Linked DNA regions of Rattus norvegicus. The protein of the gene in region 2 interacts with the protein of the main gene of each other region in a pairwise test. Links are inferred from orthologs where the notes say so. Each region holds a gene or a part of one and is shown on either strand. Other genes may lie near its edges.

Region 1 (5,959 bases), on a different chromosome or scaffold from region 2:
GGAGGAGCAGGGAGGAGCAGGGAGGAGCAGGAGAGCACTGTCAGAGGGATGTCACAAAGTCCAGGGGTGATGAACCTATATTCTTTATGGCTTCGTGAATGTGGATGTGTATCCGAGGGAATTTTTCAAACATTTGAAACTTCATAGTGTATTTTATTGAGAGTTAAGGAAAGCTATTACAATAAATAACCACGCATATAAATAAAAAGCCAATGAAGAGAGCTAGCAGCAGCTAGGAGACCGGTGCTTTGAATGACGTTTGGTTTTGTTTGTTAGAGGAGGGTTGCTTCTATGAGCTGCCAATGGTTACAGGAAACTGCGGAAGGGAGGGGTTAATTGATGGAGTGGTATCGGAGAATGACAGCATGTTAAGAGCCCAAGGCCAGATTGGACAAGGAGAAGAACAGGGTATAAGTGACATTCTGGGCACGCCCTCCCTTGACTTCATTTTCCAAATGCTGAAGGGAAAAGTTCTTGTTCTCAAGCACCAACATTATAAAGTAAGTTAATCAGATTCCCAGAGTCCCTTGCTCAAAAGTGGCACCCCTACCCCTACCCCCTCCGTGTACTTTCTCCCAGATTCTGTGACGCCTGCTGGACCCAGGTTTTGACCGATGTTACTCCCTGATTCACTACAACAGGAAGATTACTTTATTGAACAGCAGTGTGTGCCTTCCTCCTTACCAGAGCGCTCTTGTTAGATGCCTTTCTCTTAGCAAAGGTTCTCAGGAGGGCACAAGAGAAACTCTGACAGCTCAGTGTTTGTGGCCTGGTGCAGGTTTCTGACATAGGGAGAGTGCAGTCTTCCAGCTGCGAGGGATGGGATATTGGTGTTCAGGATTATCATTTGATCACATAGTGTCTCATATTCATTCTCTCTCTCTCTCTCTCTCTCTCTCTCTCTCTCTCTCTCTCTCTCACTAAAAGTTAATTCATCCCTATTTAAACAATGCACAAAGTGACACTTGAATGAAATCATTTATTTTAGCTTTGAAATAACGCTTTAAAACAAACTTTAGCTTTAAAATAAACTCCACTTTAGCAACATACCATTTTACCTAGATTCAAACTTCCAGAGGCATTAACTCAAGCGTACCTTGTAAAAATCCCCATCTGGTAAACATAATTTCAATATCGTTCATATTTATTCAACAGGTTTAACGCGAGGAGCACAGTGGCGTTGGTCTTTTAATCTGCTCCATTTCAATCTAAAAGCAAGTGTTCATTCGGGCGTTAGCCGAGAACACTCGGGACTTCACAAAGCTTACAGATAGGGGCTCGAATCGCTGCCACTTTCCGCTGTAGATACAGAAGCCTCCTGGACCGCCAGCTCCCCGTGGCAGCCTTGGGGAGTTTCTGGCTGAGGCCGAGCCTGGCTAGCAGCGTTGGGGAGTGTGCTTGGGGAAGGGTCCACCTTTGGTGGGGGAGACCAGTAGGTCCAGTAGGTCCAGTAGGTCTAAGAAAGCCGCTGGGGACCTTGCGGTCCGGGACACCTGCTCCGGGAGCGGGAAAAACCTTGCTCGACTGCTTCCCTCCCAGCGCTCGCAGTTGTCCCAGAGATGCTCCCCAAGTACAGTGTCTGGTCCCTACAGACCCGCGCGCAGACAGCAGGCAATTCCCGCGACAGGCAATCTAAGCGGTCCCTGCTTTATCTTTCTCTCTGGCAGCGGGACTCGACGGGGAGAAGTAAAGAGGGATCTGGGGGATGCTCACTCTTGGATGTTCCCTTCTCCTCTCAGAGCGGGCTGCCTGGAATTGGGGTGTGGGTGGCTCCAGACGCCGCCACTCGAGCGGCTGTGGCTCCAGCCTCCTCCCCCGCTGCTGGGGGCGGGAAGTGGCTGTGGGAGTCACCCGGGCGTGACTGCCCCCGAGGCCCCTCCTGCCGCGACAAGGGCGCTCCATAAAAGCCCGTTGGCGACCCGCTCTACGCATCCCACCGGTGGAGCTCATTCCTCGCAGAGGCGCCCAGAGCAGAGCACCCGCTGCGCAGAGACCACAGCCCGCCCGCCATGGTGAGTGCCAGGACCAACTGGGACAGCGGTGCGGGCCCCTAGACTCCCTTGAACTTGCCCTGCAGCCGGCCCCCTGAGCTTGTTCTGCCAACTTGACACCCAGCTCTTTGGGGCAGCTAAATTTCACTTGCTGGACTCTGGTTCGACCCTCCACCTGTCCTTCTCCGGAGCCCTCCTATCTAGGCGCTCCACCTCCACGCCGGTTATCTTTTGAAGGAAGGGAGAAGAACGTGGGGACACCTATCCCTGGGCAGCGGTGGGGTTTTGTTTGTTTGTTTGTTTAGTTGGTTACAACCAGGAATCCAGATTGCATGCGTGGTCCTAGAGGGAGATTCCCCCAAAGTATTTTCCCTGGCATGGGGAGCCCCGTGCCCAGTCACCTCCAAGATCTGAACTGAGCCTCTGGGTATCTGACTGTCACAGGATCTGTAGCCACACAGATCATAAGCGACTCAGAAGAAAAGTTTCTCCTCCGAGGGTGATTTAGGAACAAGAGGAGAAAAGTGGTCTTTCTTTAAAATAGAGGGCAGAACTTACAATTCTATTCTAAAAGGGGGCCCTCTGCTTCTCACTAGGAGCGTTGGAGGGAAGTTTCATGAACAATGGGGCGGAGCAGAGGGGCCAGGTCCGGGCAAGTGGTTCTCTAGGGCTCTGGAAGTGGAGCCTGCCCAATCTGGGCTTTTTTTCCTAGGGTCTGGGATGGGAATAGATGAGGGTCTAGAGTGGTAGCTGGAATCGGGACAAAGGCGAGCATTCTCTGCATCTCCAAGTCTGAGCCTTCTGTATCCACAGATGCTAGGTAACAAACGAATGGGGCTGTGTGGACTGACCCTCGCTCTATCCCTGCTCGTGTGTTTGGGCATTCTGGCTGAGGGGTACCCCTCCAAGCCGGACAATCCGGGCGAGGACGCGCCAGCAGAGGACATGGCCAGATACTACTCCGCTCTGCGACACTACATCAATCTCATCACCAGACAGAGGTGGGTGTATCCGCGGCTGGTATCTCGAGCCCCAAAAAACTGCGGTTCTGGGAATCTTGGACGCCAGAGACCATTTCTTTCTCCTTGTTCTGTCCCAGAATAGGACAGGATCCGGCATATATTCAGCTCTAGATAAATATGTGAGATGGGTACACACGCCACAAACTGGATACATTGTCTTTGTCACTAGACTTTCTCTCCAACCCCCGAAACTGAGATTCAGTACCTCTGGGCTGTGTCTGTCTCCCACCCACCTTTCCTGCCTCTTTTGCTTACATCAGTTGGGGACTTACCCAGCACCCTCCTTGGGAAAAGGCAGCATCAGGAGCAGGGGTGCAACAGTGTAAAGGTGTAACCTAATCTAGAGTAAACAACCACCCCCAAAGAAAACCAACGAGACAGTCCAGCTGTCAGAGAGTGGATAGACCTTCCAGCCTGCCCAGGGCAAAGGGAGTGGCAGCATTTAGGGAAATAAATAAATAAATAAATAAATGAGAGAGAGAGAGAGAGAGAGAGAGAGAGAGAGAGAGAGAGAGAGAGAGAGAGAGAACGAACGAACCATGGGTTTCTTCTGAACTATCTCAGCCCTACACTTGAAAATTGCTAGATGGTCTTAAAAAGCTGACTTCTCTCATTTTATAGCAATTGCGTTCTGAAAAGAAAGCGTCCCATGAAGAAGAAACAAAACAAAGCAAAGCCTTTCCGCTAAGGACTCTGGTGGATACAGACAGCTCCACTGGCTGGGGCCTGAGAGACAGACGGGGATCTGTATTTTTAATGTCCAGAAAGTGGAAGAGAGGTGCCTTGCCTTTCCTCTCAGCATTAAAATCAAACAGAAAAAAATCAAATCCAAGCTATTTTACAAACAATATGGGACTTAGTTTGCAAAGTCAGTGCATTTTAGTTCTAAATCATTTAACAACACATTTCAATTACCGAGAACCTTGAAGGATCATATAGGCAAACTCTTTGGAAGCATTAATGTTCTTTACTTAGCAAGTTTCAATTATGCATAGTAAATTACCAGAGAGAGGTTAAACTGCTCACCACCCAGGGGATGGTTGGATGGGACATAAAAGGGAGGTTGTGCTTCTGAAACAGTTTCGTACTTTTAATTTCACCAGAAAAGTATGTGGCATCCTGAAAGCCCTCTGGGGAAAACAACCCCAATGTATACAGAACCACTTAAGTAATACAGGCTCATAATCTTTTGAAATCTGACCATTTTCACTAGCAGAAAGCAATTGCATTTTTGAGCCTAATAAATTTCCAGAAAATCGATGACGTCAGTTTTTTTGCTCCATACAACTCAAAAAAAATTTACACAAATGAAATGATAGCATCTCTCAGGATTTATGCATGTATTTTATGTATATGAGCATTCTGTCTTAATGCAAACCAGAAGAGGGAATCAGATCCCATTACAGATGATTGTGAGCCACCATGCGATTGTGGGGAATTGAACTCAGGACCTCTGGTGGTTAAGCCAGTGCTCTTAACCACTGAGCCATCTTTCCAGCCACAACACCATGGCTTTTATTGTTGTTTGATTGTCTTGTTTGTTTGTTTGTTTGTTTTTGATTGGCTCGTTGGTTGTTGTTTTGTTTTTTAGATACAACAGATAGGACTCATTCTTTTTGCAAAGACTGCTGCTATATATGGCTTTGCCACAGTGTATACAGTGATGCCATTTCACATTTCTCCAGTCATCTCATTCAGTCTTTTCCTCCAAACTTTGAAGTGAATTTAATCGTCTCCATTCTGCAGATCACAAAGCTAAGGACATTTCAAGAAAGCTTTCTTAGGGTTATGGAACTGGAACCCTCTACTGAGTTCCCTTGTACGGGGCCACATCATTAAAATCCAATGTAACATCCACCATCTTTGAGGGAAAAAAACAGGGGAAGGGGGTTGCATGTCCTAGGAAGAAAATCTGGTTCAATGGAAACGAACCTGTGTCATCTTGGTAAAAGCTCTCTTTAGAAAACATTAGAAGCCCCATTGTACACTTGCTGACTTCCCACCAAAGGTTCACTCGAAGAAATCCAGGCCTTTGAAAATTACCGTGTCATTTGTGACGGTTTAATCTGTAATTCTTCTTCCTTCCTCCTGCCAGTCCTATTTGTAGCCGTCCTCCTGTTGCTGTGTGTGCTGCTGATTTGTTGCTTCTGCAGTCCAGATCACTCATTCTAGTCAATGGCTCTTGTTTGTGTGGTTCCTTGGAACAGGGTTCACAGGTGGGGGTGATTTTTACTCCCTAGGACATAGGGCTCTGTTGGGGGGAGACTTGTTGGCACAACCAGAAGTGAGTGCTACTGGTATACGCTGTTAGACATCCCAGGATGCTCAGTCCAGCTTCCCACTCCACACCCCTTCCCCAGCAAAGAGTCATCTTCCCTCAAGTGTTCCTATTGAAGAGGTCGAGAAGCAGCAACCCTGGATTACTGTTTCTCCGTCCTGGCTTTGTGTCACAGTCACATGGAGAATTTTAAAGTGGAATGTCCCTGCCTCCACCCTTGCCAATTAAATGAGTCCCTCTAAGGTAGAACCTGGGCTCTCTAGTCTCCTTCAAGGCACCCACGGTGAGTGTAATGTGAAGCCAGGTCTGAGAATCTTTGCCTTGGAGACTGGTCTTTAGATGGTTGCCTGTTACAGAGAAGGATAATCTAGAGTTAGAGAAAGAGCCCTGAGCCCAACCACCATTTGGATAAGTCCATGAATGTGCAGAAACTGTCACAATACTGGGAGATTTTTGACCGAAAAATGGTGGTAACCAGTTGCCAGTCTTTTTAACTCTCTGAAGCATGATAAAGGTGAATGAATTCAGGTTGTTTGCCCGAAGTGTGAAGATTAACAAAATCAACTGAAGGACAGGTTAACCAAGAGCAGGCCACTAGCTCTAGTCTAATCTTGCAGAAAATCTTATATGAGAGTTGGGTGGTGAGGACGAGAATTGTTTACTTTTGC
Region 2 (4,873 bases):
GGCTTCCACTACAATGTGCTCAGTTGTGAAGGCTGCAAAGGCTTCTTCCGGCGTAGCGTGGTCCATGGTGGGGCCGGGCGCTATGCCTGTCGGGGCAGCGGAACCTGCCAGATGGATGCCTTCATGCGGCGCAAGTGCCAGCTCTGCAGACTGCGCAAGTGCAAGGAGGCTGGCATGCGGGAGCAGTGTGAGTGCAGGGGCGGGGCTAGACAGAGCGTGGGTCCTCGTCACGGGGAGGAGTAAGTGAGGGTGGGTCCCACCACTGAGGCTGTCTTTCCTGCAGGCGTGCTTTCTGAGGAGCAGATTCGGAAGAAAAAGATTCAGAAGCAGCAACAGCAGCAGCCACCGCCCCCGACTGAGCCAGCATCCGGTAGCTCAGCCCGGCCTGCAGCCTCCCCTGGCACTTCGGAAGCAAGTAGCCAGGGCTCCGGGGAAGGAGAGGGCATCCAGCTGACAGCGGCTCAGGAGCTGATGATCCAACAGTTAGTTGCCGCGCAGCTGCAGTGCAACAAGCGATCTTTCTCCGACCAGCCTAAAGTCACGGTATCGCCCCGCCCGGCCCAGTGGGCAGAGCCCACCCAGGCTAGGGAGGGTTTCTTGGGGCACACGAGTTCCCACGTGACCCTGGCCTTTTGTGTCCCAGCCCTGGCCCTTGGGTGCAGACCCTCAGTCCCGAGACGCTCGTCAGCAACGCTTTGCCCACTTCACTGAGCTAGCCATCATCTCAGTCCAGGAGATCGTGGACTTCGCCAAGCAGGTGCCAGGGTTCCTGCAGCTGGGCCGGGAGGACCAGATCGCCCTCCTGAAGGCATCCACCATCGAGGTACTAATAACGAGAACTAGGCTCTAGGACAGAGGTCAGAGCTGCATGTAGTCCAGGGACATCCTAACCCTCGTGGGGTGTGGCCATCTGGAGCCTCCAGTGAGCCAGCCACGGGGGGAAAGGGAAGTGAGCTGAGGTGGGAGTAATGGAGACTATGGGATGGACTGTCAAAGAGGAAATACGCCCCAGAGACTTGAAGGGAATGGATATTTGAGCCAACTCAAGGATAACTTAAGTTTGAGAGTCAACTGTGCATAAAGTTCTAAGTGCTAAAAGAATCAAAACTCTTGTACCTCACAATAATGTGTGGTTAATGTCCTTGGGTGGGGGCAGTGGGTGGTAAAGTTGGAGAAAGGAAAGCTAAGAATGTCTGGGTGGCAGCCAGTTGGTCTTGGCACATTTGACCTGGGGCAGCTGAAGAGCCCTGTACCTTGTCACCTCCAGATCATGTTGCTAGAGACAGCCAGACGCTACAACCACGAGACAGAGTGCATCACGTTCCTGAAGGACTTCACCTACAGCAAGGACGACTTCCACCGTGCAGGTCTGTGGAAGGCACTGGCTCAGTGTTAGGGTTTCTGCCCCCTGTCGGACCTCCAGATCAGGCACTGGCAAGAGAAAGATCATGTTTAGCAGGACCAGATGCATGGGGAGGCTTTGCTGTCCCCTGGCCTTCTGGCAGGAGATCAGGAAGAAGCACAGGCTGCTGATTGTCTCATGGGGAGCTCATCTGGCCACCTGTCTGATGGTGGGACAGGGCCCCTGCCCATGGCCAGCCAATGCGAACAACTTTTCTCCCTCAGCTTTCGGCTTCCCAGGACACCTTGGGTGCCTCTCAGTATTTTTAGGCACCCACTTCCACTCTTCTACTACACAAGAAGAGTCCTAGGATTCTTTCAGTGTGGCTTACTAGCAGGGCAGATTTAGGGAAAAAAGTGTGTTTTCCCTGTGATCCAGCCTGGGCAAAGGCCCTGCAGCCAGGCTTGAAGGAACCCCACGGAGCCCCAGGCATTCAGGCCTTGGAAGGTGGGACTGGAAAGGATCTTCGGCTTCCTACCCAAGCTCCTTCACTGCCTGGCCCCGGGCCCTCTGCTACTACCCTCCCATCACATCTGTCCCCCACAGCACGCAAGTGCCATGCCAGCTTGTCAGCTCCCGTATTCCGTCTGCTGGGACAGGACCTGGCCTCCATTCTCCTCTGTCTTTGTCGATCGTCTCTCCCAGGCACTGGGTGCCTTGCTGAGTCTGTGCCCATCAGCACAGTCCAGCATCAGGGACCAGCATTCACTGTCCCTTGCTTAGAACTGGGTGACAACTCCTATCTTGCCTGGAACCTGCCTACATGGTTTTGTTTTGCTTTCTTGGGGTCTCACTGCAGGCCAGAGTAGCCTAGAATATATTGTCCTTTATAGAGAAGGGGTTGGGTGTGATGGCAGTAAATACTCTTCTCCAAGGCCTGGCACACAGTAGGTACACTTAACAGTCCATGAGTGAATCATAGCATATTAGAGCTGTGGGAACTACCTAAGGGTTCACAGTGCCTTTCCTCCGCCCTCCTGAGGGCAGATGGGGGGACCTGAGAGGATGAGGTTCCAGTGTGTGTGGAAGGAAGGGTATGGGCGCTGTCTTGGTGGCATGGCTACTATGTAACAGTCACATGGTCCTATGGGGAGGAAGGCGGAGTAGCTGTCACTGGCTGTTCCTCCTTCCCGTGTGAGTGCCCTGGGACCAGGGTGAGGTGTGAAGCTGTGCTGGGGCCGCTCTTGCAGGCTTGCAGGTGGAGTTCATCAATCCCATCTTTGAGTTCTCTCGGGCTATGCGTCGGCTGGGCCTAGACGATGCAGAGTATGCCTTGCTCATTGCCATCAACATCTTCTCAGCGGACCGGCCTAATGTGCAGGAGCCCAGCCGTGTGGAGGCTCTGCAGCAGCCCTATGTGGAGGCCCTCCTCTCCTACACGAGGATCAAGCGGCCGCAGGTACAGGAGCTGGTGGGCTCGGTATTAGGGTCAGGTGGCACTCATTGGGGCACACTGAGCCTGGGGCCTGCCTTTTTCTCAGGTCCTGTTAGTGAGGTCAGCACACATGTCCCAAACCCTGGGCTGGGTTTGAGGTTGGCCTGACCACTCACAGCACTGGCTTGTCAGACAAAGCTGGCTCTGCAGGGCAGGGCCCCCTATAGGATCTACTTGCCTCCTCTTCCCGGCAGGACCAGCTGCGCTTCCCACGAATGCTCATGAAGCTGGTGAGCCTGCGCACCCTCAGCTCCGTGCACTCGGAGCAGGTTTTCGCATTGCGTCTCCAGGACAAGAAGCTGCCGCCTTTGCTGTCCGAGATCTGGGATGTGCATGAGTAGGGGCCGCCACAAGTGCCCCAGCCTTGGTGGTGTCTACTTGCAGATGGACGCTTCCTTTGCCTTTCCTGGGGTGGGAGGACACTGTCACAGCCCAGTCCCCTGGGCTCGGGCTGAGCGAGTGGCAGTTGGCACTAGAAGGTCCCACCCCACCCGCTGAGTCTTCCAGGAGTGGTGAGGGTCACAGGCCCTAGCCTCTGATCTTTACCAGCTGCCCTTCCTCCCGAGCTTACACCTCAGCCTACCACACCATGCACCTTGAGTGGAGAGAGGTTAGGGCAGGTGGCTCCCCACAGTTGGGAGACCACAGGCCCCCTCTTCTGCCCCTTTTATTTAATAAAAAAATAAAATAAAGTTCGAGTACAAGCCATTCCTGAGCCCAACGTGGAGGGGTTCTAGGTTCGACCACGAGGGTGGGGGTGGAGGGGTGGCGCTGAAGACAGGAATCTTTATACAGCATAGTTTGAGACACTAAAAGGACACTTACTTAGCTAGGGCCAGGTTTCCAAAGTTGGGGACTGCACATCTGGCCACGAGTGACATAAACAAGTCAGGAAGTGATTTGTGGGGCAACAGAAATTATACAGGAACCCGGGTGTGTAGGAACGGAGAAAAAAAAACTTAGCAAAAGCAGCGGGGTAGCACCCACTGTGGCAACCTTCCCACGCTCCTGCTGGGGGCGCTCGGGTACCGCAGGTCAAGCCGGCTCCCTGAGCCTGGATGCTGGGGGTGTGTCCTCGTGCCGTTAGCGTCACGGGGCGGGACCACTTGCGAGAGGCGTGGTTGTGGATCCTCCCTGGAAGGGACGTGGTTTGACCACCCTAGCCGGCCAGGGGCGGGGCCTAGCGGGCGTGCCTCAGCTCTGGGCCTGCGCGCGTAGGGTTCATGGGTCACGGCGGCGTACCTTGTGGCGGGAAAAGCTGTTTGACGCGGTAAGTAAGAAAGTAGAGTATGGGTTGCTCGTGCACGCAACTGATACCTCGAGCGGAGAGCTCGCGGGATATCCGCAGCTGGGGGCAGGTTAGAGCAGGGCTGGCAATGCAAAGGACGGACCCCAGGAGCTGAGGACCCGGGGTGCGCTGGTTTGTCCGGGTGTGAGCGCAAAGGCGTGCACGGGAGCCGGGCTGGAGGCGCGGAAGTACAGGGCACTTGTGTCAGCTCCCTGTACAAGAGGCAAGGCGACAGTATCAGAAAGTCCAGTAAGAAGTAGGAATGAACCGGGAGTAGTGGCGCTCTTTTATCCCCCACACTCGAGAGGCAGAGGCAAGCGATCCTGAGTTTGAGGCTAGTTTAGTCTACAGAGTTGAGTTCCAGGATAACCAGGGATACACAGAGAAACCCTGCCTCAAAAGCCCAAATTAAAAAAAAAAAAGTAGGAATGGGAGAAAAAGCAATGCCTCAACCTTTCCTTTTTCCTTAGTGCGCGCACGCGCGCGCCATGGTGCACACGTGCAGATCTGAGGACAACTTTGTGGTGGTGTTCTTCTCTTTCCACTATGTGGGTTCCCTATGATCTAATTCAGGCTGTTCAGCTTGACCAACAAGCTCAATTATCTATTCCGCTGGCACACCGGATGTGATGCTTTATATAATAAATAAAACAAGCAAATTGATACTAGAGAGGGCAGTCTGCTTACCCAGCCTGGTGTTTGGTTGGGGGGGTGAGACATATCCCAAAGTCCCACAGTCCCAGAGCAG

Evidence for each region.
Region 1: the proteins of Nr1h2 (region 2) and Npy interact in a two-hybrid assay, tested with the Homo sapiens proteins (3 studies listed by BioGRID and IntAct). The link is inferred for Rattus norvegicus from reciprocal best matches to the Homo sapiens genes NR1H2 and NPY.

Annotation. Positions count from the first base shown.
Region 1 is NC_086022.1:80,210,195-80,216,153, forward strand, and holds the start of Npy (pro-neuropeptide Y preproprotein), read left to right. Parts: upstream 1-1,916; 5' UTR 1,917-2,009; coding exon 2,010-2,012; intron 2,013-2,804; coding exon 2,805-2,992; intron 2,993-5,959. UniProt on the Homo sapiens protein: NPY is implicated in the control of feeding and in secretion of gonadotrophin-release hormone.
Region 2 is NC_086019.1:104,177,155-104,182,027, reverse strand, and holds the end of Nr1h2 (oxysterols receptor LXR-beta), read left to right. Parts: coding exon 1-187; intron 188-283; coding exon 284-543; intron 544-643; coding exon 644-823; intron 824-1,267; coding exon 1,268-1,367; intron 1,368-2,592; coding exon 2,593-2,801; intron 2,802-3,031; coding exon 3,032-3,178; 3' UTR 3,179-3,545; downstream 3,546-4,873. UniProt on the Homo sapiens protein: Nuclear receptor that exhibits a ligand-dependent transcriptional activation activity. Binds preferentially to double-stranded oligonucleotide direct repeats having the consensus half-site sequence 5'-AGGTCA-3' and 4-nt spacing (DR-4).